Styela clava: one gene and its partners. The protein of the gene in region 2 interacts with the protein of the main gene of each other region in a pairwise test. Links are inferred from orthologs where the notes say so. Each region holds a gene or a part of one and is shown on either strand. Other genes may lie near its edges. The genes, in order: ras-related protein Rab-6A-like, protein bicaudal D homolog 1-like and clathrin heavy chain 1.

The links.
Region 1: the proteins of protein bicaudal D homolog 1-like (region 2) and ras-related protein Rab-6A-like interact in a two-hybrid assay, tested with the Drosophila melanogaster proteins (3 studies listed by BioGRID). The link is inferred for Styela clava from reciprocal best matches to the Drosophila melanogaster genes BicD and Rab6.
Region 3: the proteins of protein bicaudal D homolog 1-like (region 2) and clathrin heavy chain 1 interact in binary tests that used the Drosophila melanogaster proteins (3 or more experiments, as listed by UniProt). The link is inferred for Styela clava from reciprocal best matches to the Drosophila melanogaster genes BicD and Chc.

The regions. Positions count from the first base shown.
Region 1 is NC_135256.1:11,594,538-11,606,312, reverse strand, and holds the start of ras-related protein Rab-6A-like, read left to right. Parts: upstream 1-6,236; 5' UTR 6,237-6,294; coding exon 6,295-6,358; intron 6,359-6,682; coding exon 6,683-6,741; intron 6,742-8,112; coding exon 8,113-8,166; intron 8,167-11,644; coding exon 11,645-11,750; intron 11,751-11,775. Other genes in the region: ankyrin repeat and MYND domain-containing protein 1-like, read left to right, coding at 1,220-1,382, 2,025-2,114, 2,593-2,747, 3,066-3,333, 3,671-3,803. UniProt on the Drosophila melanogaster protein: Protein transport. Regulator of membrane traffic from the Golgi apparatus towards the endoplasmic reticulum (ER). Mediates membrane trafficking during egg chamber growth and organization, possibly upstream of exocyst component Sec5.
Region 2 is NC_135256.1:9,841,082-9,852,483, reverse strand, and holds the start of protein bicaudal D homolog 1-like, read left to right. Parts: upstream 1-7,155; 5' UTR 7,156-7,583; coding exon 7,584-7,664; intron 7,665-9,414; coding exon 9,415-9,549; intron 9,550-11,073; coding exon 11,074-11,190; intron 11,191-11,402. Other genes in the region: uncharacterized protein LOC120328503, read left to right, coding at 369-664, 1,766-2,593, 2,894-3,060, 3,448-3,527. UniProt on the Drosophila melanogaster protein: This protein is essential for differentiation. It may play a role in localizing of Nanos (a maternal determinant) activity in oocytes. Functions redundantly with BicDR.
Region 3 is NC_135252.1:331,006-342,001, reverse strand, and holds the start of clathrin heavy chain 1, read left to right. Parts: upstream 1-6,754; 5' UTR 6,755-6,866; coding exon 6,867-6,908; intron 6,909-7,105; coding exon 7,106-7,313; intron 7,314-7,417; coding exon 7,418-7,567; intron 7,568-7,653; coding exon 7,654-7,723; intron 7,724-7,997; coding exon 7,998-8,157; intron 8,158-8,687; coding exon 8,688-8,852; intron 8,853-10,434; coding exon 10,435-10,608; intron 10,609-10,996. UniProt on the Drosophila melanogaster protein: Clathrin is the major protein of the polyhedral coat of coated pits and vesicles.

The DNA of each region.
Region 1 (11,775 bases), about 1.8 Mb from region 2:
AAAACCATCCATGTTCACTATTTAATATAGCAGTTGAAAGTGTTTCACACCACTTGCATGTTTTAACCTGTACGAGAGGAATTCTAACTACCAAAGGTGGTATCATTCCATTTGCACAATACGGTATATTAATTTGGTCAAAATAATGATCTTAGCAATTTGTATTTTGAAGTTACCATAGGTTGGATGATCAGATTCAGAAAAGTGGTTTGCAGTCCTTTATTATTAGGATGAAAAAATGAATACCTGCTAGTTCTTTTGTACAGATTGCATACTTTTGTACAGATTGCATACTTTTGTACAGATTGCAGATGGTATAAAACAGGTCATCTTTAAATTTTTACTTTAAGACGTTGATCATTCTATGTTTGAGACACAGAAAAACTGTCCTCAGCGCTATTACCAACAGGTTGAAAGCCACTAATTCCGATTTTTAAAATTTGAGAGCAACTCGTCATTATGAGTAGACAAGTCAATAATTTAGTCTGCTTTCTTCACTTTGGTATTCAAATTGACAGAAGCATAATAAATAATAGGTTACTTTGATTGAATTTGTTGTTTCTTGTTATTTAGCGAAAGTAATTTTACAAAAATTATGGCAAGACATAGATCAACAGGATACTATGAAGCTCAAGTTGCAAAAATATAAAGTAACTGATGATGTTGAGGAGAGTGTTTCTGATCTAGACTTTCGAGTACAAGATGAGTGAGTAGCGAGACATTCTGAGAGGAGTTATATTGAATTTAGAAACAATATTTATATACCAGGTTTTGCCAAAATTGTATTATACATAGGTCAGGTTGTAAAGACAGTTAGATATCTGAACTACAGTTAGTATATGGAATAAAGGTGCTTCAGAAGTGTGTGTACCAATATGGAGGTAACTAGTTTTGTTTGCCTACTTTATATCAAGGTGTGTAAAGGGACTGAAACCTATAGGCAGGGGGTATATTCACTTGACTAACACAAACACTATGGTAGTACAGAATATACAATTAGTACTTATTAAAAATATTGTCGAGTGTAGTATTTGGGAACTTTTTCACAGGATACAATTGACGATTGAAGATTGCTGTTTAAATTCTTGCATTTTTACCTGTATGTAATGATTGTCGAACATATTTCAGTCTTCTTTAGATTTTGTTTGTTATATCTTGTGTCATTAACAATGTAATATTTTATTCTGACCTTTTACCATGTAAATGCAAATTTCTCAAGGTCTGAGTCCGAGCCGAGAAGAACGCTTTCTGTACACTGGCGCTGGGGCCAAGTCAGAAGCTGCCCTTCCTTCAAGCCCCCAACAATACCATACAGATCCAGTTTCAGCAAGCCATGTGAGCTTCCCAACTCCTATATCGCCTGAAGATAGACCTGATTCAAAGTAAGTACATAAATATAAAAAAGAGAAGGGAATTTTTTTGTCTCATTTTGGACTTGCAACTTTGTTCTCAGTATTCAAAGTTTATAACCACTAGAGCAAGACACCATGTCTCATTCAAAGCTAAATAAGGTATTAGAATATTTTTGTTTTCGAGTCTTGGATTCAAGAAATATGTGAAATCTCTCAAATTCTATCTGACTACACTTAGTCGAAGAAGTCAACTATAACTTGGTCGTAGAGACCTGAAGGCCTGATTTTCCTAGTTCTGATCACTATCCACTAGTTTTTTTGAATTTTAGTTTACGGCTGAGCATAAGATTGACACATTTCCAAGAGTTGGACAATATCACTAATTCAAGAAATTCATACTGCTCTGGCAATGATCAAATGAATACTATAGATATGTTGACCACATTGAACCCAAGTTTTCACTCAAATTTGTTTTGTGTCCAACTTGTTTATTTATTTATAAAATTATCAATGATTAAAATATAGGAACTTATTCATCTGTCATTGTCAATTAATAAGATGTGATTTCATGTTTAACTGTAGAAAACGAATTGGATTTGGTGTTGGGATTGTGTGTGTGTTCCTAATTTCTAGCTGTTCGATCTGTCTATTAACATTTGCTGTTTTTTTTAGGATTTCATCAACCATTTTTTCTCAACCAGATAAGCAAGTTAAACCTGTAAAAAAATCAATTAAAGGAAGGTCAGGTTCAGGTCCGATTAGGTGAGATTGTATCTCTGTTCTTTGTTGTCATTTTTCATTCGATTCGCAGGCTGTAGTTGATCATTAGTGCAATAAAATTTGAAACTTTACAATATATAGGAATGAGGCATTTGGACATCTCTTCAATTGGGCGGATACGATCTTTTTTTTTAAATAATTTTATCTGATTAATTACCGTAGGATAAACAACATACTTTTTATAATACTTTTGAAAATAGAAATTTCAACAATTCTTTGCAAATTGAGTATTGGTTGATTATACTCATTCCCCACAATCCATGTTATGACAAAACAACAAGGTTCTAAATGAATCTACAATAATTCAGAAATACTTTTTCATTTTTTGCAATGAGTAAAAAAGGAATTGAAAAATTTGGACAAAGACAATGTTGGCTGATTTATATTTGGCATAGGAGAATAGACCCTTTCTACCCAATTTGTAAAATTCAATGCTTGATTCAATTTCAATCCTTTTCAGAAAACCCCTTTTTCGTTATTGTTATGAATGTGGTCGATCTGTTGGTGTGCGTTTGACAACATGTTCTAGATGTCGTGAAGTTTATTATTGCAGTAGATCCTGTAAACTAAAAGCCTGGGAAGAACGACACAAGGCTGAATGTCTTCGTATAAAAAGTATGTGACATGTTGCAATTTTTTTCTTAATAATATAGTTTCGATCCTTGATAGATTTGTTGTTTAGGATAGGATATACATATTTATCCCGAGGAAGAAAGGCGATAAGGCGGCTTAACCATACAGCGCCGAGAAATCCAGCAATCCTCTTGCACATAACCATCCCGCATGGGATTCGAACCAATGCAGGGTAAACAGAGGTGCGGTGATACGCCTAACGCTTAGCACGATGCGCCACACCCTCGAGTCGTTAACTTGTTTGAAAACTGATTAATATATTTTTTTTCCAGTCTTCACATTACACCCTTTTATTTTCAGATAAGAGAGAACAGTCCTCCCCATCTGCAAATGAAATTGCTTCTTATTTTACAATTCACACTTTGAAAGAAGCAATTGAAAATGACCCAACAAGCAACAGCATGAAAATATTACCCAAAAACATAGTCACTAACACGGAGTTCATGCCAAGATCTAAATCTGGTAGAACTACTTCAAGTCATCTCAAATTTGGTAAAACGAAAGGAAAGCCAAGGAAGAAGACTGCTTCATCACGATCCACAAGTGTTCTCCAGCCTTCAACTGGAAAGTATGTAATGATTATGTGAAATGATAACATCATCTTTGATTGTTATTATTCATTGTATTCACTGCCAAATTTTTTTTGTATATTATATGAAGTGCAGCCTAAAGTGTAGGAAAAGACAAATATGGCTGAATAAACATATTATACTTTGGAAACGGACGTTTCTACATTCATAACCGCACATTTTATCTTTACCAATTTAATTTTATCGAAAGCTTCCAGAATCAGTAACTTCAAAGATGTTACTTTTTGTCAGTCACTGAATATATATATTGAATATACCATAATGTCTCAAATCACTTATTTTTCATCCGTATTCAACTGTAATTATATTACACAGATCATTACTGCCGAGTCGCAGGGCTCATGTGGGAGAGATTCTGCAGTCAAAAGTTGGAAAAGCAGTTTATTTTGGAACAACAGGAATGACGTTGGCTGAACTTGGAATTAAAGAGAACTACAGCTTTGAATGAGTGACATCACAATGGTGTTGGCTATTTTGTTTGTTGTCAATTTGATATTCAATATTAATAATTGATTTACTGTATAACTGTAGGAGGATCATTACATTTTGAGTGTTTCATCGTCTCATAAATAAAAGAGTTAGTTTGGTGAAGGAGGTGCCACATCTAACCATATTTGCCTTGATGACTGTGTTTCACAAGATATGTAGTTGGTGACACATTCTTACATTGTTCACAACATTTTGGATTTTAAAAAATCCGTTGGGTTTTCTTTATATCAGTTTTGTTATAAAATTGCACAATAGCAACGACAATTGAGGCTCCTATATTTTAGTTTGTTGCTTAACTCATAGCATCTCATCTGTTGCTTGCATTATGCTTTAGTGCGTCCCTACTTTAAAAATAAATAATGATACTTGAACATGAACAAATGCAATAGTCCAAGACAGACACCACTGTAGTTGTAAATCAAATTCCATGACAATATTTAATGTTGATGGGAGAACCAAACAATTTTGTAAAAGCGTATCAAATTTATAGAATTTTACAGTAATTAATCTTTTCAAGAATTATTTTGGTCTTTATTCAAAAACTCGGCCTTTTCCAAAGTAAAAATAGATTGCTGTCGTTTCTCTTGATATTGTTATATTTTCGTATTGAAGTTCCAATATTATTGCTTTATTCTAGTTTTTAACAAATGTTTTTGTATAAGAATTTATTCAACTTCGCTTCATTAGATGCCAAAGCATACTTTTTATGCATCCAACACATTTGTACTTGCAATTAATAGTTTTAATTTAATGTATATTTATCTGCATAAATCTGTTGCTTGTTTAGTTTTGCGACATTTAGAATTTTTATGTACATTTTTACAGAGAAAATATAATCGTAGTTATTCATTGAACTGCCTATTCTTTTATAAAAACCAGTTGGACGGGAATTCGCATCTATATAACCAACGACATTAAACAACTGTCAAAGCAGGCACGAACACCATTCGTGCTATGCCTTGAAAGCAGCACACATCCGCTCGTTTTCGTCTCGTCAAGTATGTGCATTGGAGCGTGCTATCGGATACAATCTTCGGCTAAAAATGCCGGAGTTGCGCATCATGTTGCTTAATATCATTGGTATAACGCATTGCAATTAACACAATAACTAGTAGTATCGTTTTAGCCCAGAGGAAGACCAACAAAACGAATAAATGCCACTGTATTCTGAACACTGATGGAGTTAGCTAGATTACCAAAGTGCGCTTGTATCGTGCGTTGGCGTTTAACTTCTAAATGGCATTGCAAATGTATTTAAATTGTGTTCCCCACCAAGAAGGACTGACCCAATGCAATTTTTTGCGACTTCTGATGAAAAATCTTGAAAAAAATAGTCACGCTTGAGAGACGGCCATCATAATCTTTTCGCATCAGCAAAAATTACGCCAGGTGGTGACGTAATCGCGGCTACGGATGCATTGGAATTCAGATTTTGTACTTTGTTCGAACGTGAATCATGTGCTTTTTGATAATTATTTCGTTGTAAATTGATAATTTGTGAGACCAAATATGATATATAGTCAATAGTAGGAACATGTGCTCTGGTATGGTTTGTATGTGTACCTGGGTAATGGGTATATGACTACACATTACACGTACCGTAACTTATCGGTACCACCGTAGACCTGTAAACTCTGTATTACTACTGCTGTACTGTACTATGGGTGTTGAGTTTCATGATTTCTCGTCTTCATTTTTTGTCAACCTCAAGTGGAAAGTTCTCAAGAATCTGGGGAAGCTACTCAATTGCTTGTATCTCTTTTAATTAAAGGGATAGGATTTTCATATTTATTGGTGAAAGATGTACAATACTGCGATATTACAATGTATCATAGGGCAGATCAACTCTCGTTTTATTGCCAGTCTTGGTTAGGATGTTATGAGAATGAGGTTGTTACCCATTCTATCTAAACTGGAAATTGATTCCTCCTGCTGTAACACGTTTTCTCAACACTTTTTCCCAGATAAGATCATTTTGAATCGGTCAAGTTTAAAGTTTGTCAGTTGTCTTTTGACAAGCGTTAATTTGGGATTCACTTTTGTCAGTTTTCTTCTTATTTATCTTCACGAACATACTAAGCATTCTTTTATATATAAATTACATAAAATGTGTTGCTACACAAATCTATTATCTGTCTTGATTGTTGTTCTTTCAGCAAATTTGATAGAAACTAGTTGCAACTTTCAGTATAACATTGTCATTCTAATCACCGGTAACCACTTATTATTCTGCAACTTATGGGCAATGAATTTGTTTCATCAATAGATGCCAAAGCCAAATAATCTACCATACTATTTAATATAGTATAAACTTGAGAATTTTCTATAGCACAATTATAAGTTACCTTCAAATGTTTATACCGATAAATTCACGATAAAATTCTTTTAAATTCTTCGTATGACAGAGTCTTATTAATATAATTAAAGTTTATTATCTATTTAATATTAAAATGACGAGCGATTTTGGGAATCCGTTACGGAAATTTAAGTTAGTGTTCCTGGGTGAACAAAGTGGTGAGTGTGTTATTTCTGATAAGAGTTTTGTCACATTATAAAATATTTTTAAAATGTCATAAAATCACTCTAATTAATGTGTTACTACTAAATAAGAATATTCATTATTTATGGCTTAAAAATGAAATCCCGTTTTTTCTCATTTATTAGATTTGTAGTTTTTTTCAACTTTTCATCATATCCTTTATCTTTGATGTACTTTATTTGTGTTTATTTTTTATGCAAAAGTTTAAATTAAAGCTAGGTAGTTCTTTTGGATTATTACTAGGATTATGACAAAATAATGTTATTTTGCATACTAATCTTATATTATTAATTTTACAGTGGGGAAAACATCGCTTATTACAAGATTTATGTATGACAGTTTTGATAACACGTATCAGGTGATTATTGTTGTAAAAAAAAATTGTACCGGTAATTCTTATAAATGTAATCTCAGCTGATTGAGACCAATGGTGCTGGGTGGTGAGTCTGGTGATAGTATGATGAACATTTACTGTCAACTTGGGCGTTAACAATCATAACTAACAGTAGATGCCTCAAATTTTTGCCTCGACGAATTGTTGAATAGTTTTTTATTATAAAAAGTATTCATTAATGGCGGGATATACCTATGAAAAAAGTTTTGAAAAGATAGTAGATGCATTTTCTATTGTATTGGATGTCAAAAGTTGAATATTCAGAATTCATCATTTTTAAGATTTACTTTCTCTTAAAAAAATTATTATATTCATGAGGAAAATCGAGGATTGGCGATGAGTAGGGAAATTCTTTTCACGATTTCTCTTCACTTTCGCAATGAACTTCTTCACTATTGAATAGATTTTCAGTTTTAAAAAATGTATTGAGCACGTGATTTATTTTCGTTACACATAAGGAGTTGACAATAACTTGAATATAAAATGATGATAATCAGGCCTGAAAATCTTCTAGCACCATTGGTTCTGGAAATTGTAGCATATTGTGAATAATATTATTATATTTTATGAATTTTCAAACAATATTTTTTGTCAGATTGCTTTCTGGAGTCTAATAAGATTTTGCTCATTACTCCAATAACTGATAAATAGTGGTAAATCTTGATTTGTTTGCGGTCTTAGTGTGTTAACACTACAGTGCTAAAATTTTATTTTCAATATCAATTTAGTTACTCTTTTCTGTTAACTTATGCTGCTTTTCGTGTTTTATTTTAACGCTTTCATGGGCATCATTGCTTGACCAAGTCTAAGGTACAATATTTGTTAGCTTCATGCATGAGAACAATACTGTATGGCCCACTCTCCCATCATCTTTCTATCTGATTTGCTAGAATCGCAAAAAATTGATCAGTATTTCAACTGGCCTACAAATTAAAAAATGTAGCAGGCTTTGGACATGGCATAATTTTTTATACGTCTGTCTTCAAATAGGTTCAATTTTTGGCTTCCTCAAGTTTTATCTTGATAAATTAAATAAAGATGTTTTGTACAACTGTGTTGTTTTTTAATACTGGATAATTGTAGATCATCAAAGTCTAAATCATAATTCACCCATGGGAATCTAAAGCGAGTAAAACAAACCGTCACATGAAAATGGAATTCCCTGTAATGTTTGGCTCATACACGTTGTATCTTTGTTTTGTCTGATTTGCATGTATGTTAGGCACTAAGACCGCTGTCTTGAATAAAATCAATTTTTATGTAGAGATCGCAGTAGTCTTTTTTACCACTTTCACTTCTGACTTTTGTCTGAATTCAAAACTTATTTTGTTGCAGGCCACAATAGGAATTGATTTTCTTTCAAAAACAATGTATTTGGAAGACCGAACGGTAAGAACCTACATTCAGCATTTAGAATCGTAAATTAGGCAAAATATTTTTATTGAAGGGTCTTTTTTGTTGAAATAATTCCAATGAAGATTAAAAAAGGAGAATCAGCCTATTTAAAGTTCTCAAATTGTTTAGATATAGCATGCTGTTACACAGAATAACATTAGGTTATAAATATCAACGGCCATACAAAAAAATTATACCTATTGTGCAATAAGGATGAGGGTGATTCAAATCTTACTCAAACATACAAGTCTAGACATGGTGCCATCAATCACATCAGTCTTCCTGAACTGGTAGATTTTTTGTATAGGAAAGATGTTGCTTTACGTCTAAGTAACATTACCAAAGTGTTTATTGATTGGTATATATAGAAGATATAGATATATAAAAATACACAAATTTTAGGAATGTGGTTTTCAATACAAACTCAGAACAGCTAGCAACTGTCATCCGTTATAATATCTAAAATCCTGTTAGTGACTTTAGATTTTCTCCAGGTCATATGAAAGACATACCTAAAATGAGTCTTATCTCTATACCTAAAATAAATATTAGAAATTTTCTCTAACCAATCCAACCATGTAATAGAGATGCCTATTTTGAAAAGTTGTTTGGTAGTTGGTTTGAATTTTCTTCGTTACAAATTTTAGCTTGCCATATCAGTAATAATCACATTTGTGAAAGAAAAGGAATTCGTATACAGTGATATCTCGGTGTTACTCATTCTTGACAAATATTACAAGAACAAAATTCTGCCTACCTTTTATAAATTGACATTGTTTGTGTTTTGGTTATTCTCAACTTTGGTAAAATGAAGTCTAATGGTGAAAATACTGTTAGTAAAAATGGAGTGTTTTTGTTTTAATATGGAGCCTGATAATATGTAATCAAATAACTGGAAATTGACTTTATTGTATTTTCGACGTTTTGTCTTCCCAGAGGAAAAGATAGACTAGACGTTCGTAGGTCATGTTCAATATTTCGATATCTGTCTGGGCGTTTTTAGACTCGGTAATTGAACGAATGCACAGTCAACTTAATAGCCTAGAAATTCCTACCAGACGGACTTGCTATGAATAATTCAAAAGTCTGTGAAAACCGTCTCATGCACATGCAACAAAGAACGTCAATACATTGTGGCAGCATATGCTTATTGCTCTCTTTGTTGACTTGTATGAATTATGACACAATTTTCTTTTTTTGACGTCCCCTCAGAACAAGAAACCTCATTTTGGAACAATTTAAATGTAAGGATATACGATATCTAAAACTTATAGGATAATTACTCAGAATTGTTAATTTATTAATAGAGCCTGTCTGGATGGTTGGTCTATAATCAAATATCTGAAAAAAGTGGATACTATCTTGAAATGCATATTGATATGGCCATTGTTTTTTTCTATTTTGGTTTTATTCTGATAGGGAATCAGGCCGTACATGTCAATATATAGGAAATTCATAATAATTTAAAACATGACAATTACATAGGCCTAGCTACACAATTTCAGTATTTGATAATACATATATGTAACTTTTCAAATATAATATTTTTACCAACGTTAACTTTTTTCCGATAAAAACCTTATTCAGTTCTTTGATGTATTTATCGACGATGACCTCATACCAACCGATATTTGAAAACACCAGTGTAAAGCATTTCCTCATTTATATTTCATGGCCTTATTTCTTAATCATTCATACCGATGTACAAGTCCAAACATTTCCGAAGAATGATGGATTATTGCAAGTGGGAAATTTCTACACTCATTGTAGATTGCAAGATTTTTAATCATTTAACAACACTTGACAAAAGCATATAAAATATGTTATATTAGAACAGTGGTTCCCGATCTTTTTTTCAAGCGACCCATATTTAAAAAAAAATGAATTTGTAAAATCCCGCTACCCAAGAATATGCTCAAATACTAGGCGGTATGTAATGTTTATGTCTTTTATGCTCACGAAATTAATATACTAATATGAAAAAAAAAATAAACAATACATACCTAGTATTCATTTTTCCGAAAATTTACTCGAAGTAATAAAGCTGAGCTTTTTTGCTGTAAGCGAGTTTTTGAAATCGTGGCGTGGTTTTAGTAAAGCTGATTTTGTTGAAAAACAAAGCGACCAAATTTCGGGTCGCGCCCCATACGTTGAGAAACACTGTATTAGATCATATACATGTTTTACTGGACTAAATTCCCAAGCCTCTTAAAAAACACTATATTAGATCATATAAAGCACTTTACGGGACCCATCAATCTTCTTAGTTCTTAAACACTGCAGGTTACTTTATTTTTGTAACTAGGTAAAAAATGATATTAGCTATAGCTAAGTATATTAAAGTGAAGTGTATAGTATATTAAATTATCTTATTTAGTATGAAAACAAACAATGATATTGATTTGATTGGGAATATCCCCAATGGGGTAGGATACATTCTAGAATCCATTTATTGATTGGTACTTTTATGCTGCCTTCTTTTATCTATAACTTTGTAGGCTCATTTATTGATTAGCTACTAAAATCACCAGCGAGTGAGTCATCACTATTGAATCCGACGGACTTGAATTTTTTATCGCTTTCGCATTTTTTAAGTTTTTTGTCTTACAAAACTCAGAATTACATCTCCTGATCCCCAAATATTTTTTTATCCTGGAAATCATATTTCTATTATCGCTTATTGTATGCCCAGAGGCATTTTATCAGACATTACAACATTCTGTATTTGATTATTTTGTTATTCTAGAATTATTAATTTTAATATTCTACATTCTGTTTGTTATTCACCAGTGTGGCCCAATGAACTAACGATTATTATTGCACAATAATTATTGCAAATGTGTTGATTCATTTCTAAAAAGCAATAGTGGTCTTTAAAAGCATTATTTGAGCAAATTAGTTCAAATCAGAAAACATTTAGCTTATGTCTTTCGGCAAATCCTGTTCACACTTCTGGCCTTAAACCAGGGAGGGGAGCCAGGTCGCAGGTAGTCTCAGAATGACTTGATGAATCTTGTGAGATTTTTCATCAATTTCAGCTTGTGAACACCATACCGATTCAAATAACTTAATTAATTCACATGCAAGGGCAAAATTACAGAGCAGTAAAATTTATCTTACTAGGAACCGCAGGTTTTTACCACTTTGTCCATTGAAGTGCAATTGTCCGTAAACATTTTGGCTCATCATTGATTGTGACAAATGTATTGGAAATACTCTACTGGCCATACTGGGCTTTCTTCATAGATATCAAAACCTTTTAAGCCAAAGCCATTTCTTCATTCCAATGAGTAAAATTAAGTCATAAAATCTCTGCTTAAGGTCATCAAAAATTCCAAAACATAATGCCGATTTTTAACTGACGAATTTCCAGATTGAAAGTTTTCTTTTCATCTTTGGTGGTGTTTAATTTGTTTATTAAGAATATACATCTGACTCATATTTGATATTATTTCTACCGTTGAATATTTAGGTACGTTTACAACTGTGGGATACGGCAGGTCAAGAAAGATTTCGAAGTTTAATTCCAAGTTATATCAGAGATTCTACGGTAGCTGTTGTAGTTTATGACATCACAAGTAAGTTTATTTCAGAATTATTTGG
Region 2 (11,402 bases):
ACATCCATCAGCGTTACGATCTTGAATATAGCAGTAGGAAATGTCATATGCCAGGGATTTAAAAGCAATCTCTGCTATTGTCTTCTAATTAGAATAATTTTGTGTGCTTATCGATTCCTCAAATAGACTTCAGGGATTGTGCTTGACTTGAATCCATTACTCAAAATAAATTGCATTTCAAAACAAATTGTTTATTTTGTTGTTTTCGCAGGTATAATGCCCGAACCTAATTAGCACAATAGAGATTAGTTTGTTCGTAGCCTATTTTCTCTAATCACACTGCTCCCGGGAGGTCGCCAGTGTGAGTTATGCGTGTGCTGAGGTCTCGGTAATTTTTCACAACAGCGCTTATAATTTGGTCGTACAGAATGAATAGGAAAGCCCTCATCGAAGTAGGTGAAGACGAGCAGGAACGCCGTTTACAGCTAAACAAGCTTTCACTTGTCGAACTGACCGTTCAAGATGAGTCGCGACATGGACAATACGTTATGGCTATCATTGGCAAGATCCGTGTAGCAAATGTAGGATTTGAAAAATTCGTATTTGCTCGTGTTACATTCAACAATTGGGCCTCATTTCGAGACTACAGTGGATCATATATAGAAAGTAGTCCAGACGGTACAGGTGACATCTTCGCCTTTGGATTCACTCGTCGTGATAAAACGTAAGAATGAAATTTGATATAAATGCAGATAAATATTTAACCTATTAGCTTCGATACCACTATTGTTTTGTAAAACAGACTCATGTTGCTATGACAATTACTACATAATTCATAGCATCAATTTAACATTGAACATTCTTCGAGTCCAAATAAAAGTTCTGGTTCCGGTTTGTATGCTCAATTAGGGTTCTAAAAGTAATCCGACACACATCCTTATTATGTTCAGCCGCTTATATGTGATTCGTGGATTTTCTCGGCAATCAATCTCCAAACCTCAACAAAAGTTGTTCATATATGTTGCAGTGTCGCATATTTCTGGCTGTAGTGTGGCTATATATAGCTCTGAAGCTGGTAGCTTTGTGGTGGGCCATGTAGTATTAAGCTTGCCTTTAGCCGGTTTTTCTCTCGTTCTCATTGTATTTTTATATGCAGTGATGTCTATAATATACCTCGAGCTGTTATAACTTCAATATACAGTATATCGATTATCCAAATACCTAAACTAATGTCAGTGTTTTTTTTTGACAAAGATAATGGCATTTCTACCCTTTTACGTTTCGTCGGAAGTTTATATATGTATTTATTAACACTGAAGGCGAAATGGAAATTTAGAAAAAATGGATTATAACGCCATCGGGTGATAAAGCAGTATCTGTTATAAAAAGATGAAAATGTCGTCAGTTTTCTCGTTTGACTTTGAAAACACATGGTACTTATGTGCCTTTTTATTTTAACATTTAAATGTCTCTCTCAACACCAAGCAATAAAATATATGTATCTAATGGAAGCTACATAATAGTTGTGTATGCATATAGATTTGTCACATCAAGATTAAGAATTTATGAGGTCGTTCTAGTAGTTCAAAGCTCATGTCAATCTGAACAATCTACATCAAAGAAATGTTATAAAACTAAATCAGCAGTCAAGATAGCGTAATCGTATTTACAATGTTATGATGTTATAACTAAATATAGTATTCCAACATATTAGCTTAATTTCTTCATGCACAAGTATAGTAAGTCTTTAGTTTTGCTTTCACCTAACCGATGCAGCCTAAATTCTTTTGTGTTTATGAAAATTATTTTCCATCTCTTATTTCAGGCCAGTCAACGTTGAATTTGCATTATCGGGCTCATTGGAAGGAAAAGAGTATTGGGAAAATAACAACGGTAAAAATTACTGTTTTCACTTAAGTGAAGATCCTCTTAATGACATAGCAACTGGAAAATCCGAACCGGGCGTTGTAACGACCTGGCGAGTAGCAGAAGGAAGTTCTCCAGATAAACAAGAGGAAATTGTCTTTGATACATCTAGTTATCCACATTTTGAAGCTCACCCCTTAACGCCAACCAAACTCAGTTATTATACGACGTTGCATCGGGCGCCAGAAGAAGAAGTTGTTCCCAGCAAAGCGCCTGATACAAAACATATCCGTGCCTTCAATGCATTGGCAATTGGAGAGTTGTGCGAAGTTGAAGACAAACCCAGCAATCCAGATGATGGAGCTATCGAGGCGACAACTGCTACTTTTGCGGAAACGGGTGTTTGCATGACCGGCGAAGAAACGCAAGATGGAATCGAAGTTCAAGCAACGGAACCGACACAAGATCAACAAACAGTTGAAGATCCCATTGAACCGATTAAAATCACCAAACCGATAGACGACGAATCGCCTGATGACGTTTTTGATAAATTAGAAAATCCGAAAGAAGAAATGCGAGTTGACCTTCAAATCATTGAGGAACCTGGTGACGGAAACAGGCCAGATGGTGAGAGAAAAGATACCGACTTGACGGCAAACGATGCTGCGGGTCAACAACTAACAGAACAAGACCCTGGTAAGAAAAAAGACAAAAAACAAACAAAGGATGAAAAAAAGAAAAAGAAAGAGGCGAAGAAGCAGGAGAAGAGCGACAAAAAGGAAAAGAAGTAAGTGTAGTATTCAGACTATTTTCCTTTGTTATGTCGAGCTAAAACATTTTTCGCGGTAATCGTAACGTATTATAAATAAATACGCCCATGGATAATTTCACGCGATCTGGTAGAGGCTACTTTTGCTAGGAACAAAATTGATACAAAGCTTATATATATACAGCATAGCCAGTTAATATGTAAATGCGATAATAACCATGCCTCTTAGAAATAAAACCCAGATTTATTTTTTCTGCTAACAATTGGATAGCCAGAATCTCGCATTTGGTTTTATGAAAGTTTTGATTAATATCTCAGAAAATCTAAAAAGAGCAAAGCTCCTCCAGTACCCCAAACTCAACAAAACGAAGATCAAAAACCAGATTCTGATACACAAGAACAGAAAAATGGAAAGGATAAAAAACCATCTCCTGATCTCCAAAATGGCGACGACCAATCAGTTTCAAGTAAAAAAGAAAAAATAGGTAAATCCCTTTGGATTGAATTTTTCCGATATTCTAATTGTACGAATAATGAGTTCAGTTTTATCGGGACCAACAAATTACCCTTGTTTAATATTTACGAGCTCAATATAACTTTTTACAAAATGTCACTTCATTGAGACCATTATTTCTATTGATCGACTCAAATTCCACACAAAATGACGTATTATCATCAATAATATGCGAAGTAAAATATGCAAATAGCATGTTACTTTTAAATGAATATTGTCCATTGAACTATAGAACTGGTTTACTGTAATAAAAATACGTTACAGAAGCACGTTTGAGAATGACGAGACGTAACTTTTCGACTAATTTTGCGGGACAAGCGTCATGGTAGATGCTTTCATTTGTTTTATATTTTTCCAGGAGACGAAGATTCCCCAAAGAAGCCAAAGAAAGGTTTTCTTACGAAAATGGCGTGCTGTGGAAAGGCCGAACCAGACTGATCTCGTCTGATGTGGTTGACCTATTACTTTGTTTTATGAAGAGTAAAACCTATAACTTTTTGTTTTATCTATGTCAGTATTACGGGTCATCGTTTTTGGCACTTGATGTACTAACTACTAATGCACATTTTCATAGCACTTCGTTTTGGCAAAAAAAGGAATTTTTATTTATATCGAGTGTTTGGTTGGGAATTTGGGGTAAGTTATATGGCAACGGAAGAGTTTTAGGATAACCTCAGATGATAGCAGAATTATTGAATTTATTTATGTGGATAGGAAATACAGTGTAAGAGAGTTCAGATGCCAGTGGCGTTCAAACTTTAAAAAGTTTTTTTCTTGGGTCGATTTGTGCGATTTCCCCTTTTTTAGCGTTGCGCGAAGCCTGATTGAACTAGGCTACTTCGAAGTGGTGATTCAGTTTGATAGGTGAGAGCACACTGTGTACTTTAATGATATAAATCATTATCTCTCTCTCTCATTCTTTTTAACCTATTCGGTTTGAAATGATTATAGAGGTTGTGTTTGGTTGTACCATAGTTCTTTACAGCTTACTTATCTCAAAATATCCCTATTTTGAGCAATGTATGATTCTCTGATCAAAAATATCTGACTGCACCAAGATGGCGCACATCCTGAACATAGTTTGTTTACCAGGTTAGGGTTCAGGTTGTGCGCCATCTCGGTGCACATACTTCGGGAGTGCCCTAAAGTCTATATAGTGTAGTGTAGAATCTACACAAACACAATATTAAATAAATATGGTTCAAATCTAAACACCTAAATAGCAAACTGGCAAACACTGAGAAGAAGTTCAAATTCGAACTTATTGGAATAAGCAGACATGTTTGTTTGCACACTTATGACAAAGTTGAAACCGAGAAACAAAACCTTAAGATTGGTTATTTACCACTATTAACTAGGCTTACCATACGTCCCGGTTTAGCCGGGACAGTCCCGGATTTGACATGCTGTCCCGGCCGGTTGACTCAAATGTCCCGGTTTGTCAGCACGGTTTTCATGGGTAAAAAATTCAAATTCATTATTATTACAAATTTTTTTTTTAACGGTGACAGCCCATTTACCACTGTTTTGCGACACACTTTGCTAGTTCAGAGAGAGAAATCGCTCTATTGTTATGTCACAATTAGCATATGTTTTAATGCGTTTTCTGGCGTTAACTGCAATGTCGTTAAGTTGTCGAAATGCCAAAAAGAAAGTACAAGTTTTCTGATGAGTTGAAGAAAGATTTTCCTTATTTGAAGCAAACTAAAGGAGGAAAGGTACACTGTACGCATTGCAGATTTGTTTTTCTATTAGTCATGGCGGACATTCAGATGTCAACAATCATATCCAAAGCAGGAAGCACAAAACATTGAGGCATCGACTCGACTGACCAATTTTGCGATAACAAATATTAGGATGATTCTGTGTCGTTGGCAGCCGACATTTACCTATCACACTGCTATTCATGACCAAAGTTTTGACTGCACCTCTAAATTAATTTCAAATTTTTTTGGGGCTAAATTTGCATTAACAAATATACACAGTTAGAATTTTTGATGTCCGCTGTCTGATAAGCGGATTCGCTGATTTTGCACGTTTAGCCAGAAATAAATGAGAGTTGGTGCATTGCTCCGCTGTTCTCCTCTGAATTTAATGATGATTTACTTCAAGCTCGAATGGCAACAAAACGCAGAAAAGTTGAAGCTAAGTGCAAAGGGTTCAAGCTGAAAATATTCAAATGGAATTTTTTGAGATGCAATGAGGAAATAAATCTATATTCTATTCGAGAGATGTATCACTGCATGATTTTTAATATAAAAAGTATCATCCGTTCAGTTTCAACTTTCTAAAAATATGTGCGGCCCGCCAATGACTCGCAACCCTTAATTTTGGCCCTCGGGCGACAAAAGGTTGCCGACCCCTGCCGTAGATGTTGCAAATATTCTGTCAGAGGTGAAGCTAAATTTGCAGGGAAAAAATTTGTATTTAAAAAGAATGTTTGCGATTTTTAAAAGAAATGTCTATCGTATATAGAGCTGCACGATGAAGCCTACAATGCTGCCAGGCCACACATATGGACAAATTTGAAGAGTGAAATAAACTGGACTGTTTGTGTTTGGTCTGCAAAATTGATAAATGATATGATTGGTTAGCTGATCAGGTTTTGAATAGCGATGCACTTTTCGACGAATACTGATAAAGAGATATTTATCTGAGCGTGGTTCAAATGCAATTTGACTTACTTTGCCGGTTGAAATTAAGTAGACAGAGATGTTTAACGTTTTTTTTAACAGAAATATTAGCATTTCGAATTTGCAGCAAATTGGTTGATTTTGTTTTTCGGAACATCTGTTAAAAGGATATTTTCCATTGTTAAAAAATTTTGGTCCGAAAGCAGGTGCAGAATGCCAGAAGAAAATATAAAACCACTCCGTAACCTGCAAATTTAATGGTGATGTCTCTTGTTATCAGTTTTATGACAAAATCAAAACAAGAATTTTTGAGAAAGGTTCCATCTGCGGACAAATACTTTTGGTCTAAATGAATAATACAAACTAATTTTTTGTGTTTTTTCTAATTCAATGATCAGTAGAGATTTACAGCCGTATATACCCGCAATGGCATGGTAGACGTTCCAATATTATCAAGACTGGCAATCGACCGAATGTTTGCCAAATCGCACCGTCCCGGTTTTTTGTTTCAGATTTATGGTAAGCCTACTATTAACTAATCTACTCAACATACAAATGCCTGTGCAATTATATTTCAAAACACGGGCATGATATAGCACAATTATTTATCTTGACTGAAACTGACTACAATAAAGGCATTGTAATGCACGTCATCAACATAATAGTGTTGGGCATGAATAAAAGCGAAAAACAGGAAAATTGTACACATTTTCTGAGCCATTCAGTCTGTATAGGTCAGGACAACATAAAGCTTGAAAGTATTTGCATCATTTTGTAAAGATTATTTGGCGATATATTTCCAAACGACTTGCTACATTTTCTATTGTATAATTTCATAGGTTCTAATATTACCGTCAAAAACAGAATATTAAACACGCACTGCCTGTTCTCCGATGTTAAAAACACGCAGTGTGCTAGTGAACGTGAGAATTATTTTGAATGGAAAATAAGCAAATTTAACAGACAATTAAAATATTTAAATATCTTGTGCTTAATTAATGTACTTTAAAGAAAAAAGTATAAGCTGACAGAATATCTTAAAGATGATAAGGCAAAACACAAAATGATTTAATTGCAATATTTATACAAGAACCCAGTTGCAAAAATACTCGAAGAATACTCGGCGGTATGGCGGTATCTCGAGGGGGATAATTATATGCGAGAGAATTGATGGACTCCTTGCCGCTGATGATTAAATCGTCTAATCGGCTTCCTCCGCCGCCCGGGATAAATATGTGAATCCTAAACCTAAACTCTCTCTCTTCCTGTGTTTTGAAATTCGAGTCAGTTTTGAGCAGTCAGTGAATGTATCAACTTTAGTGGTTCTCCTCGCCGTCTCATTTTCAAATAAAAGTACAAATAGGTAATGCGTTAGTCGATAAATCTTCATAATGTTTTGAAAACAAATCTTATATTTAATTATTCAAGTCGAGCCTTTGTGATCTGTCTCCATCATAACGAAGAAATTTTAACTGAATCAGATTTAACCGGATATCTTATTACAGACTCGTCAAAATCATCAATTTGATTCATACTTTTGGCCGCTGAATCTTTTGGAGACGGGATTTTGCAAAGAAAACTACCGTATTACTGTGTTATTGGGAAATAGGGTTCGAGTTGGGCGCTATTTTTGTCCCCTTTGAGCGCGAAATTTGTCAGCAAATGCCTCTCAGATGTGAGATACCGTCACGCAATCCAACTGGGTTTTAGCCTTCTCGAAAGACGACTGCGCCAGTCAAGACAATTCAATAACGAATACCGGTACCGCTACTGGATTAATGCTTCCCAGTTTTAGCTGCACATGCTACCGGTACTCAGCTATTCTTGTAGCATATTGCTGTATTGTATGAACGAGTAGAACATGGATTTATCAGATGATGTCCAACTTATCATCGATAGACTCACACATGATTTAGAAGAAGCACAACAAGAAAAAATTCAGGTAGGTTTATTTTTATATCTGATTCTGGGATTACCGTACAGTATTATGTTTGATCAACTGTACTGCTGTACTGTTGGCAACTGTACAAAGAATTGAAAAAAAAATTGCGGGATTTTTACATCATCCTGCGTTATTGATTAGTCAATTCCAACCGAATAATTTAGTTTTTTGATCAAGAATTTGAATATGTATTTAAATTATTCGCATAGGCCTATCTGCATATTCCACATTTCTAATCTAATGGTTAGTGGATATGCAGACTTGGAAACAAATGAAATATAAAAATTAGAAACAGTTAACATCCTACGGTAAACGTGGAAATGATGGACAACAGAAGAATATGATTCGAATATCACAGACCACTTTCGAACTATGACTTGACATTGTTGTAGGAATCATGCTGACGAGTTGTCACACCAAGAAATAAGTATCGATAAATGGTCTGGCATTTTTACTAAACTCTATTACCTACCTCTTACACCAGTCAGTACAGCACACTATCCAAATTCCAAGAATTTCCCTCCATTTGGTTAGATAAAACAAACACTCTATGTATCTCACAAACGAGGGGCGTCTGGACCATGTCAGATGCTTCATATCGCGCCATGCTTGTCTCAATAATAATCTTAATTTATCGCGGCCGTCACATGACCAAAATTGCCGTTTTTTGCTAAAAACTCTCGAATGATACGGTAAAAAAAATTTCGGTAAATTGGTTGATTTTTTTCCAAGAAATTCAATGATGACGATATTAGATTGCATTTTTTTGTAGTATTTTGCGCAATTTTATTGCACTGTATTATTACCGATATTGAGGGACAACAATGTCCAGATGTCTCCCAAAGGAGGGGTGTCTGATCATCTGTAAAATGGGTTTCTCTGGGACGGGACAATATCACCCAATTTGTATAGTGTGCCGTACTGCCAGTATTTTTTCGATTCCAAGTTCTGAAGATGTCCCGACATTTGATTCAATAAAACAAACAGTCTTTTATCTCTGACACCGTTTTCACCTCACACACTACTTGGCAGTTGTTTACCTCAATCAAATTGTCGGTTTGCTTCGAATGTGGCTGGTGTCCCAAATCCCAAACACAGTCCAATCCACTTCAAAGTAAACAGTCGTGAATTGTGACCCACCGTGTTTATTCATATTTTTTTTCAATAAATGTTTGTGTGTACAATGCGGCCAAACTGGCGCAAATATTACTATGTGTTTTAAACCTATTGCAGGTTTTGCTAGTTACCCCGATTTCCCAATCTTGTGGTTGTTCATTATTTTTGTTTTGTATATGTTTTTTGCGAGGAAATATATATAAACTCATCATCATTCCTGGAGCCCTATAACCGTAGAATTTCAGATTTTATTAACATATCATTGACAATATTTTAATTTCACAACACTCCATTTCTGTATTTACATTGTACTGTTTACCATTGCCACACTATCCTGCTTTTTCAAAATTGACTAGTTCATTTCTGTGAAGATATACTGGGCTAGGCTCTTGCACTTACTCCATGGTTTTCGAATCCTAATCAGATATGCTTCAGATAAAAAAAACTTTATTGAACTTTAAAGGTTTGCGAAGCAAATATTCACAAAATAAAAACTTGAGATATGAACATAACTACGGTGAAGTAATATTTTAAAATAAAGCCATATTAAGAAACCACAGATTGATAACTCTGTATTGGAGTATTGTTTATTTTTAAGTTTTATTTGCTTGAATTCTTATTTTTAATATTTCAGGCGGCTGAATATGGATTACAAGTCCTCGATGAGAAGCAAAAACTACAACAAAGATACGATGAATTAGAGGTTATGTTAGATTCTACTCAGAGAGAACTTGATGCATCAAAGAATGAATTTGAACTCAGCAAACGGGTATGAACTATCATAAGTAGACTACTTTTGAATTTTATATTAATGAAAAAACATACTAATACAGTAATTACGTTTTCAACTTTTTGAGTTAGGAATCAATTGTCTGTTTTTAAAACTATGCTTTGTACTTTTTTAATTCAGAAATAGTTTTTATGCAGTGAAACATTGTTAGAACTTGCTTTATCAATTTTTACATTATGAAATTATTTTGCAATACCAATTCTGACATTATGAAATGAAGAATATATATAAATTTTAAGTCTGTTCTACAAATATTTTTGAATATAACATGGGCCTAATTTTGTTGTCAATTTTGTTGATCAAAATCAGAAGCTTACAGATTGAGCCAATTCCAACTTATGCCTTTAATCAAGTAGTATTAAACGCTATTGAATATATCAATGCAATTCAATTATACTATTAGTTTGGGCCGTATACTATCTAGTGGGACATTTTTAGTCTTTTTGTAACACCTTCAAAGATTCATTCAAGTTTGTCAGAAGGCATTTTCAGGTTCACTTATATAGGATATACTGTATCTTTCTTTTTGACAGTATTTATGATGGAATTTTTTATTTGGAAGTTTAGGAATGTAAAACATTCAATCAGTATTTATTTATGTCGCATATAAGTGCAGCAAATTTGTGTAGCATAAATAAGTCCTGCATTCTATTTTTTAATTAAGCTTACTCTCAAAATTTAAGTTTGTATCAAGTCCCCATTACATTTTGATCTCTGTGACCCGAGTATTGAAGTAATTTGAAATCAACAATTTCCTGAAGTTGAGCTATACATCGTTTCTTTTTCCCTAAATTTATTAAATCAAATCAAATGTTTATTTATAATTTTTTGATAGTCTATAAACTTTTAAAATCCATATTTTTGAACTTGCCAATGTTTCTAAATAATTCTCATGAAATGGCGTTGTGGCGCATTATGCTAAGTGTTAGGAATAGAGGCTACCGCACCTCTGATTACCCTGCGTGGGTTCACAAGTTCGAATCCCACAAGATTTCCTCTCCCCTGGGATAAATATGGGAATCTTATTCTATCCTAAATGCTTAATATGACATTGGGTAAAAAGGGGACAAATCATATATTGCAATGAAGTTTTGTAAATAATTTTGATTAAAAAATATTAACTTCTTGTTTTAAAAATATTCTATTTGATCTAAAAGCTTCATTCAGTTATTTTAAACTTCAAATCACCGTGGCCATAGTATACTGTAGAAAATATGGAACTCTGTATCTGGTGAATGAAATATTTCTAGTAGGCCTACTACTAACTTATAACTATTAATAATTGCATTATGGGGGAAATAAGGACTATTTGTCATATTCTAATCCCATGGGGGTCTTAGTCATATTCTAATTTTATTCGTATCGAGTTTCTCTTGTTTTGGCCCTGGCAAAGTATCTAATTTACCAGATATCCTTTTGACATTGTCAACAGCTAAATGAAAATTTGACAATATGATGATAGATCTTCATAATTCAATAGAATAGATATTTATTTTTTATTAGGCTCTTGAAAACAGCCAACATCAAAATAAAAGAGTATTTCATGATGGCGAAACTCGCGAACAAACATTATTACAACAAAAAGAACAAACAGAAGAAACTCTGATTTCCACAATACAGGTGTTTATTCTTTACTATAAAAGTTATAACTGACTCTTAGTACTAGTCTTTAGTTCTTAGAGTTCTTGTCCACTATGGATTCACATCTCAAGCAATTGTTTTATTGTTCATCTCAGTACTGTAAATGTTTTTATTAGGTCTACAATGATTTAAAAATAAAAGACCGTAGACTGCCAATATAATGATGGCTTATTCCTGCATTTTTGACTCTG
Region 3 (10,996 bases), on a different chromosome or scaffold from region 2:
CTTAAAGCATTGCATTAAATTTACCTAAAATGGACAAATGTCACTACACGCGTTTTTTGTTTTCGGTTTTTCGTATGTAGAAAATCAAACGTTAGACAAAGCAATATTTTCACCATACGATTTTTTCGTATCCAGAGCCTTTCGTAGGTAGAGTTTCTACTGTAGATAAAAGCACAAAAAATTGTTCCCTTTTGTTATTGATCTTGCGGCATTGTCCGGGGCCCTGGCAGAAATTCTGAGTTGAAACACAAAAATTTCTAAAAAAAACTGCTATTCAAATTTATTGTCACACCGACTTTAAAACGAATTCAGTGAGAAAGAAACACGCTTTCATAAAATTGTGTATTTTTCAACAGGATCTTTCGAGTACTGGTATAGGCTTCGCGACGCAAGGAGATTGAAATTGCTCGCACGTTTCGATAATCAAACTAAAAGCTCTTTTCGCGGGCACATCCTTTAAAATTGGCACTTCTCCGCGGGCTGCACAATTTTTCTCTACGGGCCGCAGTTTGCTCACCCCTGCTGTAAACCATTTGATGTAATGAGGTCCGTGATTTACTCCGTGAACACAAATCTTAGGATCGAATTGGCAATCAACCACCGATCGAAACTAGCAACCACCGTGATCAGTGCGGTATAACTTTAAATATCAATACACTCTGTCGAAATACCCATTGTTGTGCCACAATGGCGTCGGCGGATGGGACTTGTTAGCAGAAAGATGTTTTATGTCGTATAAATTGTGTGCGTAGAAATGGGAAAATGGCAAAAAATGTAACTTCGGAGTTCCGAAAGCTGAAACTATACCCCGCTAAGTTGAGCTATTCTATGAGTTGAAGTTTGAATATCTGCTGTGAAGTAAAGTTATTTTACATAGTTAATAGGCCGGATAATGGGAATACTTTATGATATACAAACGTTTAATTAAGATGACTTTCGTCGAACCCCAGGAACATTTCGATCGAACCCAGGTTAAGAAATACTGTTACAGCGCTGTAGGTGTCGCTTCTTGAAACCCTTTCGAAGTCTCTCGCGACTCCTGTCCTGTTGAAGTCAGCCTTTTTTGTTTTGTATTTGCCATATTTTTCATGATGTTTTGATATCTTGTTAACAAATAATTGATGCTAGATCGATTACACAAAGTCAGCGTGTAAAGTAGTTGCATAAATCAATTTCAAGCAAGAGAAGTATATAAAAAAAATTAAATATATGTAGGTTTATATATATCGTCAGACTAATAAAAAAATTGCCTAAGTCAAATTTTAACATTTTGAGTAAATCAAAAAAAACTTCATAACTTTCCCATTTTTCAATCTATTTCAAATTTTTTTTTATCTAGATTTATCTTATCAACTTTTTAATTATTTTAGGATATCTATAACTTCCAAATTCTATTCTATATGCGCTAAAATTGACTTAGGCATTTTTTTATTCCCGCACCCAGAGTTAGGCAATATTATTCACATCTTCGCCCTATATTTTCTCTGTACATTCGCTTGACCTATATACTTTGTAAAAGTCCATTCGGCAAATAATGAGAGAGTGACTTCCATTAAATTAATATGACACGAAAGCCAAGTCAAAAATTCGATATTCCTCCTAAATCATAATTTGGCTTTGATGAACATTAGAATAGATGTCAGCCCACAGGCCAGATGTATTGTATTCAATTGATACAAAGAATGTAAAATTTCACAACTCAAACAACAAACAATATAATAGAATTAAAACATAAATAACTTTTTTGAACCTAAAACATCAACATAAACAAACAACTGTAATCATGAATTTATAGTAGTATACTTCATTTAAGTTCGTATAATCCACTCGTGAGGAAGGTTGTCATAAAAATGATGACAGTCAATTGGCATAATTGATTTCATTTCTTGAAGATCATTAAATTTCCTTGCACAAACTGGAATACGAGATCTGAACATTGGCACCCATTGACTTTGAACATTCTGTACACGGTGTGGTAGCGCTTTCCAAATTGCTTTCTCAAACGAAAGCTTGTAACGAATACTATACCATCACTTTCGTACTTCAGGGCACGCAAATCATGCACTCTGGGATCTCCTACTCTTTTTCCGGGTCTAATACTTTGAAGGAACAATTGATTCATTATTTTGAAATCAGTGTGCCTCATTTGGCGAACATGATAGGGTGATGGATGGATTCTTGCGGATTCCATAAGTACGATCAAATCTCTTTCAGAAAAAATGTCGCCTACGATCTTTCGTTCAATGACGCTGTGCAATATTCCATTTGTGTATGTCCAGCCACCAAAAATTTTTGCTCTATATCTATGTTGTAAGTTCTTGCCAGACTAGAATATGCATTGGCTACCTGTGTTTAAATAACATAGAAAGATAGATATTTCCGCAACGAATCCAGCGATACCAAAATCGACAAATAGTGACTCAGGCAATTTTTTTTATTAGTGTGACGATATAGGATTCCCAGTTATATATTATTGTATTACTTGAATTATTTTAACAGTATTAATATTTTTTTCACATTCTCCTACTGTGCTTCCATTTCAAATCCTCTTTCTAGATATATATATATATATATATTATTGTTCTTTCGGTTAAAATTCGGCTATAAATTACTAACTTGTTTATTTCCATAACAATCAAAGACCAATAAGCACGTAACAAATGCAATTTGTGCATCCGTTCAGACAGATATTCAATCAGAGATGTTAACATTGCCTCGATTTCGTGGTTTTGCGTGTTATTAGACAGTTTTCAGTTGTGTTTCCAAAAATTAGTAGTGGGCGACGCGACGCACAAGTGCGTCGTTTCAATTTAGCTGTATGGCCGCAATTAAGACGAATCGATCTAGTGTAAAATGTTGAAAGAAAAATGCGTGCGGATCTTTCACAATGCACCACAAGATTCAATGGCATTTATATAAAAGAAGGAAACACACTCATACCCTAAATTAAATGCGATTTCAATAACTTTCGTTACGTTTTGTCATTGCCAAAGAGGTCTTTTATTAATTAAATTGTATTAGTCGTTTTTCACGGGGAATCGCAACTTGAGCATGTTTTATGGAAGAGCGTCGCAATACAAATAAGTTTGAGAACCACTGGACTAGAGATATTACATGAACCGCCATCATGAAAGCTGATTGTAGAATTGATTGAGAGCAATGTGATATCATTGTCAAACAAAAATGGAGTTCTGGCATTGATTTCATCGACTAAGGTAGCTACTCCCAAAGAATTCAAGGGAATATGAAATTGATAAATAGTACTCACCATCAGTTTTTGTTCACACTGCGATACCACACGACTAGCTACCACTATCGACTAGAATCAATTCCGATGCACTGGAATCGATTCTCGATTGGATTGCAAACTATGTTGAGTAGCTACGACGCCGCAAACTTCACTATATATATATATATTTTGCTAGGAGTGTTTTACGTTTATTTATTTCTAAATTATCTGTGGGTTCTGAGGGATTCGATATCATATGGTATTGCCTATAGGTTTTCTCGGTAACATGTCGTGGAATCGAAGGAGAATCGAATACTTGTAAGTAGTAGTGCTTAGCACCCTTGGACTCATAAAACATAGCTATCTTTAAAAGCATTATTGGCAGGTCAGATAGGGTAAGGTGGGCCACGGGGCACAGTGGAAAATCAGCTCTCACACTCATACTATATACGGAATCAGGCCTGCGGTGCGATGTTTGAATCGCTCTTCCGTGATTTACAACGTCCCCGCAAACGGACAACGGCCGTGTAGAGCGACGCAAGTTATGGGATGAAATTGGTTTTGTTTGATCCATTAAGTGCTTATACGCCTAGAGATGCGTTATTTTTTGTGTAATATTATGGTGCCATTTGTCCTATGGCCCTATATGAAATATATATATATTCTAGATTCAAAAATATTTTTCAGATACAGATTCGAAAAAGTAAATAATTTGCTTTTGGCCGGAATTAGAATTTTTACTTGTTAATATATAAATGGTGATTTTATTTTCAAAATTACAGCATCGTTCTTTTTTTTTTGAAGGTGCCCCAGGGCCTGTCCGAATGTGCCCCACGAGTGTGGTACAGTGGGACACTTGACAGACGTTTTTTGGAGCATTTTAGTCAAAAGATGTGTATTGCTAGGGAATTTTTTAGTCGATGAATAAATACTACATTTACCCCTATCTACATTAGCCCCGCAAACTGAAATGAATGTGCAGAATATAGGGCTCGAAATAGGCAAAAGAAAAAAAGTGTCCCAACCTACCCCACTCTCTCCTACAACACACTAATCTTGTAAAGTCAGAAAGTGGAACAATAACACAGAAATAGAGCAGTTTTGGGCTCAAGTTAAGGATTTTAAAAATGCCGCTTGATTTGGGAGGGGATTTCATTTTCAGATCTCTTTGAATGTACTAAGCAAGCAATGTTACTACCTTGTCGCTCTGAAGCAACTGTAGCGACATTTTTATTACATTTAATAACTACATATTCAGATATATTTTTTGAATGTTTCATTTTTCAATCTAGATGCTTTTAGATGTTTTTTTAGGTCAAACTAGATGTTTTTAGTCAGGCAAAAGTGGCAGCCCTGATGTTTATGTGGTCTTCTGACGCACCAGGAATCCGGCGCTTCCGCATAGGACCGCCACCCTCCCTCTTCTACGTGACCCCCTTAGTATTATCGCAGGTTGTTTGTGAATTAACCGTCCGAATATTGGGCGAACAATATTATCTTCACTGACATCGGAATGCGGGTATTCATGAAAACAATGGTTGACTTATAGTTACTTAAATACTTTTTATCGTGTCTGTATTATCTCCTCAATTTTGTTCTTTCTGTATGTTAGCAAGAGCCCCTGAGCAAATTCTCCCAGAATTCAAGACGTCGTTTTCAGCAAAGTGGCGTAGGTCTCGGGGTACCGGATATTTTGATAGTAAGATAACAGTACAAAATGTTAAGAGAATGACACGCTTTTTTTCTCCAAGATAGGTCGAGACCCGAATGTCATCATAAATCAATTCACATAAATGCATCATGTATCAGCACGCGCGCACAGTATGCCTACTGCAGTATTACCAGAAGAAAGCATAATGATCACCGCATTAACAATCTGGCCAACTGCATCTAAAAATTTCTTACCACATTACAACTGTGCAGGGTAATTTAAAATAATAGTTTTCATTTCAATCGAAACTTGTGATCGAGTGGGTATTGGTAATGAAGGAGTAAGGAGCTATTTCAAAACCACACGCGAGTTTGACATGTGCTTATCTTCTTCTCGCTCTCATTCCTCCCTGGGACTCAAAGTGTCAAGGTAGGAAAAATCCATTTCTTTCCCGTCTTTCCACTTGGTGGTATGTGGTATATATACACCGATCATACGGCGGTACCTTAGTTTGTATGTTTTTGTATGTATGTTTGTTATGTATTTGATGCAAACAAGCAAAATGTGTAACAGGAACAATAAAATAAATACGTCTGATTAATTCACCAAGAAAATCTACCAGCTTCTATATTCATAAAATAAACGCAATGAAATAGATGCGAAACACAAACGAAAAAGGAGACTCACACTCAACGGCTGAGGCTGATTTTTCTGACTTCCGTGGTCACGAGACCGTGATGTCAAATGTTATGACTCACCAAACAGCGCCACCAACTTAACCTTACTTACTTTCAGGTTTCGTTTTTCGTTACATTTTTGTGCTCTCAATGATGGCAGTCAGAAAATATTGATTGAAACATAATGAATGAAGACGGTATTATTCTTGTGATACAAATGCAACATCTTGCTGTAAATCGCATTTTTCATCTGCCATATTGATTAGGATTTTTTCCATACTTGTGTGACGTCACCAAAAGCGCCGGTTCGAGAAGGAATTTTGCCTCGGGTGTAGTGCCAGAAAATGTGTCTTGCGTGTTGTTCAGGGGCTGTAATGGGATGATTTTTTCAATAGTATACAGTACAGGTACGCCGTACCCTTGTTCATATTTTTCACTTATCATTAACTGAGGTACTAAATCGCGTAGTTGGGATTATAGACTAATGTCTAAATGCAGGAATGTCTGCGAGATAGTCGCACCAATGTTCATCTATTTTTAAATATAATTTTTAATGAGAATACCTGATCTTGTCCATCTTTTTTAAACTATTGCTGTATTGGGTTACTAATTCCCAAACAGATCTTCTTCCATAACAATATTTGTGCATTTTGTGTGACAATTATTTCTGTATTTTCACTTTGCTCAACCTAATGCAGTAGGGCACAGTTCTCCAATTCCAAGATGTCCCGACATTTGGTTCAATAAAACAAACACTTGATTTGCTTCTTAAACGATGGCATTCGTATGGTCACATCGCATGATGCTTGTTTCCATATTAATTCAAATCTATCGTGACATGCATTGGCTGTTGTGTAACCAAAATAGCTTTTTTTTACTACAAATTCCACAGATAAATTATTTCCCTTTGATAAATCCAATGGTGACGTTTGTAGATTGTACTTCTTTTCGTTTATTGTGTGTTGTCGGTTTGCCGATAAGAAGGCCCAGACTTTTTAATATGGGGGATTTTCCCGAAATTGGAGAACTGTGCTGTACTGTCATGCACAGTTTTTGGAGAATAAAATTGAATTCAGTTATGCTTGTATTTAAAAAGGGAGTTAATATGTCAAGTGGTATCATGGCACTGTAGTCATAGCCTCACAATTTAGATGACTTGATTCAAAATATTACATGAATAAACCACTCACAATTCAATTTGTATAAAAAAGAAAATTTTTAATTCATCCAGGTGTTTGATAAAGTTTTTTGATAATCAGAATATTATTAGTTGGTTAGTTTTTGTGAATTCTGGATTCTTGTGAGCAAGATGGCGCAGCTTTTGCCAATCAAATTTCAAGAGCATCTGCAGGTGTGTAACTGTTATTACAATTGAAATTTTATTGTCTAAATTATCAGCTTCTATATGGAAGTAAGCACTAACTTCACTTGAGTGTTGTAACATCCACCAAAATTATTGTAAACTCTGCTGTATTGTGTTTAGGAGATAAAATTTTGTCCTTTTAAAGCTAGTAAAGGCTTATGAATGACTACTTTTATTTTTTTCAGCTCCAAAATGTTGGCATCAATGCAGCTAACATTGGTTTTTCCACTCTCACCATGGAGTCTGATAAGTATATTTGTGTAAGAGAGAAAGTTGGTGAACAAGCTCAAGTTGTTATCATCGATTTAGCTGACTCTGCTAATCCGATTCGTAGACCGATATCTGCTGATTCAGCAATTATGAATCCAGCTAGCAAAGTTATCGCCCTTAAAGGTATAGTATAATCAGAAAACTTGATATTCAATTTTATTATTCAGTTTAGTGTAAATTTTTTTTAAGTCTGTTCCTGTTATCTTAAAACCAATCTTAATTTTCAGCTGGTCGTATGCTCCAAATTTTCAATATTGAAATGAAGTCAAAAATGAAAGCTCATAACATGACAGAAGACGTTGTTTTCTGGAAATGGATTTCCACCAACATGGTAGCACTTGTCACAGAGGGCGCTGTCTATCATTGGAGTATGGAAGGTACAAGCTTCATGCATCTCATTATGGGCAATATTGAATTATGAATTATTTATTAATAAATGCCTATATATGTTTCTGAATGACAGGTGATTCGCAACCTACGAAAATGTTTGATCGTCATGCTTCGCTTGCTAGTTGTCAAATCATCAATTATAGGTAAAGTTACTGTTCTGACTGTATTCATACCACAATATAATTCATTTTTTACAATTACTGGTTACCTCTCTATTCAAAAACCGATGTGTACTCTCTTACGGCTATTTGTGACTTTTTTGAAAGGTATAAAAATGTTATTCAGCAAAAACATCCATATTGGTGACTGTTTTCTTGGGTTTTCGAATTCTATAAAAAAGATTTTTAAACTTGTAAACTATTATTCAATAGATACGTAGTTACAATAATAAAATTTATAATTAATTTGTTATGTTAGGACTGACTCTAAACAAAAATGGCTTCTTCTGATTGGGATTTCTGCTCATGCGAACCGGGTAATTGGTGCCTCTCAGTTGTATTCTGTCGAACGAAGAGTGAGTCAGCCTATCGAGGCTCATGCGGCAACTTTTGCGGACTATCAGCTAGAAGGAAACAAGGTAACACTTATCTAGAGCGAGTTTGTCGATCAAGTTTAAAAGATTATTTAAAGTTTTAATATTTTTGCTTGTCATAGTTCAAATATAATTGTATTTTGAACAGTGCCGAGTATCACACAATGGATTGTTGTATCATTATGCGTGGTTGAACATAGCAGATTAAATTGCAGTGTGACCAGTCAATAGTAATAAACAGCTCCATTATTATTAACAATGATTTCAGCACTATTTATACTTTGTATTTGTACTGAAATCTGAAAGATATTTATTTAAATATTGTTATGTAGTAATTATCATGAATTATGGGATTTTGATAAATTTTTCTGCTGTAGTGGTAGGAGAAAATCTTCACCAAGTTAAAATTGTGACTTTATCAAAGATGAACTGATCTATATTTAATATCATTCAAGGTAGTTTACTCTCTGTATAATAATTCAAATGCGATCAGTTTTTTCTTTATCTTAAAAGCTTATTTACCACATTTTGAAAAACGACTTAGCCGTTTGTTAATAAAGTTCTTTCCATGTTAGGAGCCATCAACCCTGTTTTGTTTTGCGATTCGAACCCCGCAAGGTGGCAAGTTGCATACTATTGAAGTTGGAAGTGCCCCTGCTGGTAATCAACCATTCCCAAAGAAGGCAGTGGATGTGTTCTTCCCACCCGAAGCTCCTAATGATTTTCCAGTCGCCATGCAGGTTTGTATGATCTAAGAGTATTTCAAGTAACCAACTGGAAAGATGTTTATTTAGGTTTAATAATACTAAGCTATGGCTGCTAGTTGGTTAAGCATCAAGTACATTCTTCACTCATCTTCTAATGCATTCCAATTTGCCAGTACAAAGTTTTAAACTGTAAAGATCAATAGCCTAATAATCTTGTGAATTTGTCATCTTACTGAGTGATTGGAAATATTGCTTCATCCATTTATAAATTTGTCGAGGTGACTGAATTTCACCAAGTCAACATATGTTTTATTAACTTACTAACTTTCATTTAATCAATATTTCTTACTACTTCAGAACATTTATTGATTTTTAGTGATTTTTTGCTATCTATCTCACAAGTGCACTTGTCACTTGCAGAATATTGGTTTCTGGTCAGCTGCTTCATTCACAAATTAATGAGATATTGATCTTATGCGCTGGTTGCTTCACAACTGAAGCTATTTGTATCCTGTTCAATAGAATGGCTGCTAAAGCTATTTATTGATTTACCAAACCTTAGTGTTAGAGCTATATGACTTTTACTAACATATATAATTATATTCTCACGGATAAGGTAATATATAATTAAAACCTGTTATTATCTAAAGTGATTAATTGATAAAAAAGTGCTAATTTTAATATTGAATTAAAAATGGAGCTAGCTCTCATTTCTATTTCAGTTACGTGTTTTAAACATTAATAGAGATTGGCAACGAAATTAAAAGCAATGTTTTTGGCTCATATCATAACTTGCCATTGATGCTGGGATATCATCATTATTGTCTGATTTGTTGAAGTTACATGATTTGTTATCATGGTTTATCTCATGTATATATATACATACAGCATTAAAGTTGTTCAAAATTATCTACACAGCAAAATTTTATTAAACGACTAGGCTATTTAAATTCAGACCCCCTTTGACTCTAAATACATCGGTGAGCAAAATAAGACCGAACCTCGCAACATAGGTGAGCAAAATAAGGCCGAACCTCGCAACATACTGCAGCAGCATACAACACAACGAATGTTTAGTTTTGTTCCAACTTCATCAAATAATTAATTGGGTATCCCCAGCTGGAGCGGTTAGATCAGAAAACATATTCTTCCTTACTGAAACTACCGTAACAAGATATGGCCGTATTGTAAAAATATGTTAGTAGTCCTATTTTGATTCCTTTATTCTCATTTTCTATACATTTACACAATTCCATTATAGGTTTTTGAAAGTGCAATGTAACCTTATTAACAATAAATATATAGTTAGAATAGTGTGTAATGGTTAAATTATTCCTAGATATTTAAATTATAACTACGATGATTTATCATCCAGCAGTTGGTTGAAGGAATTGTTTAGTATCTGTACCCAATTTGTGGAAACTTATTCAATCAGAATTTTCAATCTTAGAATTTCTATCATTCTCTTAAAAGTTTGATTGGAAATAATATTTCCTAGGGCTCAGATGTACTTCTTTATCATATCACATGATGTATCAAAAGTTTGTTTAATTTTGTTGCCACTAAGTTTTTGAAGCTTCTTGTGCCTGATTTTATACCAAGCATTGAATTACAGCATTCTCCAAAGCACAATGTTCTCTACCTTGTCACCAAGTATGGTTATATTCATCTGTATGATCTTGAAACGGCTGTTTGCATTTTCATGAATCGAATAAGTGCTGACACAATCTTCGTAACTGCTCCTCATGATGCCTCAAGTGGAATCATAGGCGTTAATAGAAAAGGACAGGTAATAAAATTGATGCTAGTTTATGAGAAAGTAATTTACACTCATTTGACCCAAGAAAAGTTGCAATGCTGTGTTGAAACAACGAAGAATTACTTTATAAAATTTGCTTTGATAGATTTTAACTCCCAAAGACCTAAAGTTAGAACCTTAGTAAGCATTATAGGAATCAAATAATATAATTTGAAAATCATCTCTTTTTTCTGTGGACCGCAGGAAGAAATTTAATTCATATTTCATGATAGAGTTGATTTTTCAATTTTCATAGATACCGGTAGGTCTTCATATAGATGCGTAACATATTCGGTCTAATTACGTATTTGTTAATGTGTGAAATGACTGAAATTTTTTATTTGTCAATTATTTCATACAAAATTGTTTATTATAAATA